2 linked regions of the Xenopus tropicalis genome follow. The protein of the gene in region 1 interacts with the protein of each later gene in a pairwise test. Links are inferred from orthologs where the notes say so. Each region holds a gene or a part of one and is shown in the gene's direction. Other genes may lie near its edges.

Region 1 (3,700 bases):
TGACCGACAATGCTCTTTAATTTCTTCTTAAACATTTTAAACTTGTGTGCGCATTTTTAAAAACATTGTGCTTAGTTCAGAATAGATACAAAATGTATTGCTTTCAAACAAAATTCTTGGCATGCACACCACAGTTTGTTGTGTGCACTGGCCTCAAAACGTGTGTGTATAATACATTGCAACTTTACTCCCTTTTTATCATTTATTCATTGATAGAAGGACCAGGTGGAAGGTCTCAGAGCTAAGCAACAGGTTTCCAAAGAGCTCAGTGATCCCCTTACATAGCCCAGACTTGCCAGGAACTTCAATTCCTTGTTTCTGCTTCACTGAAGCAGAAAATGAAATATAAGCTATAATGAACAGGCAAGGAGCTTATTATCCATGTGGTGGTATACTTTATAGGGATAGGTTAGGACAGACTAACAGAAACTCCTAAAATAATGTGAAGCCTGATGAGTGATGGTGTTAGATAATTGCCAGTGAGAGAGCCAGACAAAGCATTTAACTGTGTGGTAGCTGGCTAAATATTACTACATTAAAGCTGCCCATACATATTTAGTGAGGTGCAAAATTAGTAAATGGGCAAAATTGTGCTTATCAGAAAGTTTGGCCCCTGAGCCAAGGGGCCTACGCAAACCTGTCAGACAAGGTCTGCATCAATGCACCAAAGTGGTCCTCCGCAAACTGGATTTTTCAATCTGCCAATTAGCAGTCTGTTGGGAGGCCCCTTATATGGTCCAATAAGCTGTGGTCTAGGTCTTCGGAGTTGCAGCTTATATCGACCTGTGTATGGCCAGCTTTATGGCGTGTGCTACCATGCTGCCTGAAATGAAAATACAGTATCTAGTGTAAAAGTGACAATAAGTAAATTATGAAGTATGACATGTATGGGCTTATTTATCAGTTTTTGAGTTTGTGAATTCAAGTTTGTTTTTCTGAATCAAATAAACTTGCATATTGAATGCTTGCTTATTTATTAACAAGGAAAATTCATCAGGAAAAAAAAAACTTGAATACCTTGAATTTTCAAGTTTATACACTCGAAAAAACTTAAATATCTTGAATTGAAAATATGGTTTGAATTTGCCTAGAACAACTCCCATTGACTTCTATAGAAGCTTTTAGATGATGAATTTTTACATTTGAGTTCCTGGTACTATATATAATGTCCAGAGCATTAAATAATGTCATGTATAACCGGAAAAGTTTATTGATATACAGATATGGGATCCCTTATCCAGCAGGTGTGGCTTGTTAACTTTCTGGGCTCTCTGCCAAAAGCCCACTTATTTAATTAAGTCTGAGGAACAATGTTTCTAAGTGCAGGTGAAGCTTGTTAAGATTTCTGGGCTCTCTGCCAAAAGCTACTTTTTAAATAAGGCTAATGCCACACGAGGTGTAGGGCTGAAATTTTCGGCAAGCGGATAAACGCTTGGCGAAAATTCAGCCCTACGCCTCCTACTTGTGCCTGCACCCGAATGAATGGGATACGTTCGGGTGCAGGCACATGTAGCCGATATACGCATGAAAACGCGAGAGAATGCAAAGTCTATCGGCTACATGTGCCTGCACCCGAGCGTATCCCATTCATTCGGGTGCAGGCACAAGTAGCAGGCGTAGGGCTGATTTTTCGGCAAGCGTTTTTCCGCTTGACGAAAAAATCAGCCCTACGCCGCGTGTGGCATCAGCCTAAGGTTAAGAAATATTTGTATCTTTTTTAGTGTTCAGTGCAGGAGAAATGAGGGACATTTTAGTAAGAATCCAGGACTGCGGGTTGAGCTGTTAAAAGAGGGACTGTCCAGCGAAAATCGAGACATTTGGGAGCTATGCATACCTGTATATAATATGCAGAGTTTTGGTTGACTTCATGTATACTATGTCATGTGTAATATAAACTGCTTATTTTCCTTCGGTGCAGAGACAACCCAGGGGCACATTCATTATAGTACGACTGGTCTGATTACAAAAAATGTGTATTTTTTCTAAAGTTTACGACTTTTACTTATTTTCTGTGATATTTTCGTTAATTTGCGCAACTTTTTCGTACTTTGCAACAATTTGCACCACAATTTGTCGCAATGAGTATGAAAGTTTCGGATTCATTCAAGCTTCGGTATCGTGACTTTCCTTGGGCCAGGTTGGAGCTGCAGAGTGCCAGTGAGTCCTATGGGAGGCTTCCAAAATCATGAACTGAATACTGAAATTCAGAAAGGTTTTCCCGCCGTTTACGATTGTTCGGATACCAAAATTTCGTGACTATCGGATCGCCATTTGCAAATGATTGTTTCAATACTAAAATTTCAGATCGTAAGTACAAAATCTTCGTATTCAAACAAACATAATTTTCGTGACTTTTGCGATCATCAGAAATTATCGGATTTCGTGATTCAGATTCGTACTTTAATGAATGTGCCCCCTAGTGTTTGAATTCAGAAAAAGTCAGAAGACCATTACTGCAGAGACACACAGCATGTAATGGCCAGGGACAGAATGTTTTCTGTATCTAGGCAGAGATTGATTCTCATTTTTTGGGTCCTGTTCCAGTTGTGCTTATGATTTCAGTTGCCCATCTTAAATGATGGCAGGTAGAGTGTGCATGCCTGTGGGTGTCCTAAGGCAGGGGCAATGGTAGGGGAATGGATGAACCTGGGCTTGTGGGCATGAAAAATCCTTGGTTGAATGAAAAAGGAAGAATATACTTTGTACACCTATTACTTCTATGTTAATATCATGTGTGACTTTTATTTTCTGCTAATTCAGGTGCACGGCATTTGACCACAGCAACCCATATGAAGGAGAAAGAGCAGTTGTCCAAAGGAGAGAGTTATGTAAAGACTTTAAGCTCACACCATGGAGTTGTGTCAGACAGAGAGCCCTGGGAAACAGAAGTGGACAAGCTGGTCGCCTGGACTGATAGCCTTTGTATTGATTTATTAGAGGATTAAACAACATATTACACTAAAATACACTGACAGGAGCTGCAATGCACAGTAAATTAGGCAGTTTTTTTCATTTCTACAGCAGCCGATATGCAACCTTCAGTGCCTTTAAAACATAAAACCCATGAGAGGATTGTCTCCCTGTTAGGGTAACTGTGTGTCAGTGTTCCCCAACCAGTGGCTTGTGAGCAACATGTTGCTCCTCAACACTTCTTCCATTTAAATGTGGCTCATGGGTATGAAAGGTTGGGGATCCCTGCTGTAAGTGCTTAAATCTTTAAAGGGATACTGTCATGATTTTTATGGCGTACTTTTTATTTCTAAATTACACTGTTTACATAGCAAATAATTCACTCTACCATTTAAAATTTTATTTTAAAACCAACAAATGTATTTTTTAGCTGTAATATTGGTGTATAGGCAGCCATCTCAGTGCATTGTGCCTGAGTCTGAGCTGTCAGAAGGAGCCAGCGCTACACGTTAGAACTGCTTTCAGGTAACCTATTGTTTCTCCTCCCATGTAACTGGAGGAGTCCCAAGCCAGACTTGCATTTCTTACTATTGAGTGCTATTTTGATATCTACTGGGAGCTGCTATCTTGCTACCCTTCCATTGTTCTGCTGATCGGCTGCTGGGAGGGGGCGATATAACTCCAACTTGCAGCACAGCAGTAAAGTGTGATTGAAGGTTATCAGAGCACAAGTCACATGGCTTTGGCACCCTGGACAATGAAGAATATGGCTAGCCTCATGTAAAATTTC
Region 2 (3,829 bases), on another chromosome or scaffold:
GCTTACGAAAAAATCGTATTAGTCACGATAATATCGTATTGGCGATCCAAAAGTCACAAAATTTTTGTACTGAACGATTGTAAACAGCGGCTTAACCTTTCCGAAATTTTTGCACAAGCGTACGAAAAAGTCACGAAAAAAACGACGAAAATATGCTTGGAACATTCAAGTCAGCAGCTAGGCTGACCTGATAGGGAACTGAAGCCTGTCTATGCTTGTGTGAATGCAGGGCTGTGATTGGCTCTCCCCCTCCTACTGTGCTTCTGGCAGGGACTGTTAGGACACGCCCACTCTTCATTTCACACTGGACGGAGAAATGATAGGATCTATAGGGAGCTCCAATAAAGGGGCCATTGTTACAGATAGGGTTAATGTTTAGCCCAAAGGGAAACCAGCACCGTATATTATTCATAATTGCCTACAAAATTAGCATTTTTCCCATTTATCCAATATGTCTCCTTTAATAAATCTCCCCCATAGTATTCTGAAGTAGTTTTAGATATGCTTATATTACACAACAGCTGTTTATATTGTTAGAACGTCTTGTATTTTATATCTTTATATTTGTTGTACTGGATATACTAGTGCTGAATAATTTGGAGCAGAGAATTATGATTTCTATATAGCAGGAAAGTTAATTATTAGGATTTGGTAAACTGATTGTGCAAATTGTTTCCCAAGTAGTAGCTCACATATTTGAACAAATATTGTATTTCTCTTAAAATGTCTGTTACCTCATAGTCCTATGACTTGCCAAGTGCTTTCACGGAAGGGCTGTTAGTCATTTTTATTATTATTGTGTCATTTTAAATATGCTATGCAGTTCAGTATCTGTTAAGTTACAAGAGCATACATTATGGATAAATAAGGCAATATCTATGCAGGTATTGGTACTTGCATTCTTGTGCTCTTTGCACCTCTGTTAGAGCTTATAGCTATAGCTGTTCTGCAAATAACAGCACTCCCCCAACAGTTCTTGTTGAAAGTTGTGGTTTAGCTGAGCCAGTGTAGTTTAGGTTGGAGCAATTTTGGGGTGGTATTCTAATACAATGTACTGGGAATTCATTAAAGGAACACTAAGGGGCTTAGGCCCCTATATGTGGACTAAGGTCCTTATATGATCTTTGTTTTCAACAACAGCCTCATGCTGTAAAAAAAAAAAAGATGTCCAATGTCCAATCCTCATTCTCTGCCTTTGACTTGATATGTATGCAGAATGCTGTAATGGCATATATGAGCTTGTCACCTTAGCTGTATCTGATTCTGTATTGTCCTTGCGAAATGGCATTATACATTCTTTCTGATTATTATCTGGCCAAATATTGTTTACTAAGGCACAAACGCTTCGAATGCGTCCAAATGTGTTTTTTTTTTCATAATGATCGGTATTTTAGCGATTATTTTGTCGCCGGCGCGACTTTTTCATCGCCGGCGCGAAAAAATCGTATGGTAGTGCCAAGTACGAAAGTTTCGGATTCATTCAAGCTTCAGTATCGTGACTTTCCTTGGGCCAGGTTGGAGCTGCAGAGTGCCATTTATTCCTCTGTGAGGCTTCCAAAATCATGCAAAGTCGGAAAGGTTTTTCTGCCGTTTACGATCGTTCAATACGATAAAGTCACAACGGCGACGAAATAGTAGCGCAAAATCCGATAAATTCGCTATAGCGACGAAAAAGTCGCGAAATTTTCTTTTCCAATCCGAATTTTTGCTATTCGGGATTCGAATTCGGGCTTTGGTAAATCTGCCCCTAGGTGTTAGAAAAACACTGTGTGCCACAATACTGACTTGACTTTCTACTATCATAATATTGCATTTCAATTTTGGATTTTTTTTAATCATTTCCAAAACATCAGCATTTATTTCATGATTACTGTTTGTTTGTTTTTTCAAGATATGCCAACATCTGGTGCAGCAGCTGCCTTTTTTTAATAAGTTATTAAGTTATTTTGCTTAATGCTTTTAAAGAACCAGTATACCCCCTTGTTCAGCATGAGCTTAGTTAATAGAGTTTATGTTGAACATACTTTAAGGTGGCACAAAACGAAGTTTCGAACGATAATAGCTGTGTGTATGGTGGGAGACAAGGCAACCGATTTTAGTAAGAGCCTTGGATATTGCTTGTCTTGTCGATCGAGCAGAACGAAAAATTTTGATCAGTTGCCTTTGAAGGCGACTGAACATTGGCAAACGTTAATGCTGAATCATCAAGTAGGGGTAAGAATTTCTTTGTTTTCACCTGCATATCTGACAATTCAGATCTTAATATTAGAGTGGACAAACAATCTTTCCTGCAACCAGTGGTTGCGGAAAAGATCATAATTGTAACGTGTACGGCCACCTTTAGATTATGGTCTTAATCTCAAAGACTTGTGTTTTTCTTGTTATTTCTTTACATTTAACAGAGAGATTGAAGCTACTTTATGTTTGGTCACTGCTAGGTAGATCATTAGATTGCCACTATAGAACCCTGTCCATTCACCCCTTGTTATGACCATTCTCTAAGCAGGGGGATGATTTGTGTACTGGTAATCTAATTATCAGTCTTGCAAGGATGAATTTTAGATGTGCCTTTGAAATCATATATAAACAAAGAAAGAAAAGAGAGCTGTTATTCTTAAGGTCATCATGACCTTAACAATGGTCCCTGTGAGCTGCTTTAATACAATTAAATATCCTTCCGATAGTAAGATGTACCCAGAACAGTGCCAGGCCAAGAGGTACTTATGCCCAAGACTCTCGTGTCCCAGCTCCCACACGCACACACCATCTCTAATTCTTGGATTCTTACTAAAGATTGTACAAAAAACTAGTGACTTTGTCATACTTCACTGTAAAGCTTTGTTTTTTTAAATGTACTAAATAGTATTGCCTTGTTGCTGCATGTCCTAGGAGTAGATCTGATATTGTAAAACCTGTTTGCCTGTGTGTAGTTTGCATGCCTTTCTTGTAAATAACATCTGTGTGCTTTGACACAACTTGTCTTGAGTCAGTAGTCTGTAGTAAAGTACACTCAGGCATTGAGTACACTCAGGTATAACACCGCTGCTATGATTATGTTTCACCAATAATACAAGAGCATATAAATGTGTATAGTCCAAGCAAGGGTAGCATTTCACTGAAAAGGGGTTGATGCCTGGGTGCTACTGCAAGAAAAAATTCTTAAAATACAAATGCAATATAAGCCAGCACTCACAGGACTTTTAGAAATGACATTCAGGCAAAATAAAGGTTTTTCCTGAAGAAAATTCCTGTCTGGAACTGAAACGTTGGATAAATAAAAACCATGTAAAATATTTTTCATAAACCTTTATTTTGCCTGAATGTCATTTCTAAAAGTCCTGTGAGTGCTGGCTTATATTGCATATATATATATATGTATATATATATATATATATATATATATAATATAATATAATATGTGTATTAATGCAGAAAGAGTTTTTGTCACGGGCGACTAGTCTCCCCGTGTGCCTCAGTCCTAATGTGTATAGATTCCAATCTGGACAGGCTGTAACATGTAGCACATCACACAATATCTGATGTGGTGGTTACAGATGAAGTTGGTCTATGTATAGCTGTGGGTTTTCTGGGTTTTCTTTCTTTTTTTTAGGTTTTGCAGTGTTCTCCTTTATTTGATATATTTTGTTTTCTTTCAGATCTGAGGATTTAGAATGCAGCTTATCTAAAACAAATATGGCCTCTGCTGGTAAAGTCTGCCATCATACCATGTTGGCAGGTAATTCAAGCCCTGGAGAATTGTCCCTGGAGCCTTTAATACTGTGCAAACTGTGTCTTTGTGAACATCCATTTGATAAGATGACCTCCTTAC

What was found.
Region 2: the proteins of ube2u (region 1) and rnf144b interact in a two-hybrid assay, tested with the Homo sapiens proteins (2 studies listed by BioGRID and IntAct). The link is inferred for Xenopus tropicalis from reciprocal best matches to the Homo sapiens genes UBE2U and RNF144B.

The regions. Positions count from the first base shown.
Region 1 is NC_030680.2:84,733,876-84,737,575, reverse strand, and holds the end of ube2u (ubiquitin-conjugating enzyme E2 U), read left to right. Parts: intron 1-2,760; coding exon 2,761-2,945; 3' UTR 2,946-3,170; downstream 3,171-3,700. UniProt on the Homo sapiens protein: Catalyzes the covalent attachment of ubiquitin to other proteins.
Region 2 is NC_030682.2:93,574,302-93,578,130, forward strand, and holds part of rnf144b (E3 ubiquitin-protein ligase RNF144B), read left to right. Parts: intron 1-3,656; coding exon of another isoform or gene 3,657-3,693; coding exon 3,694-3,829.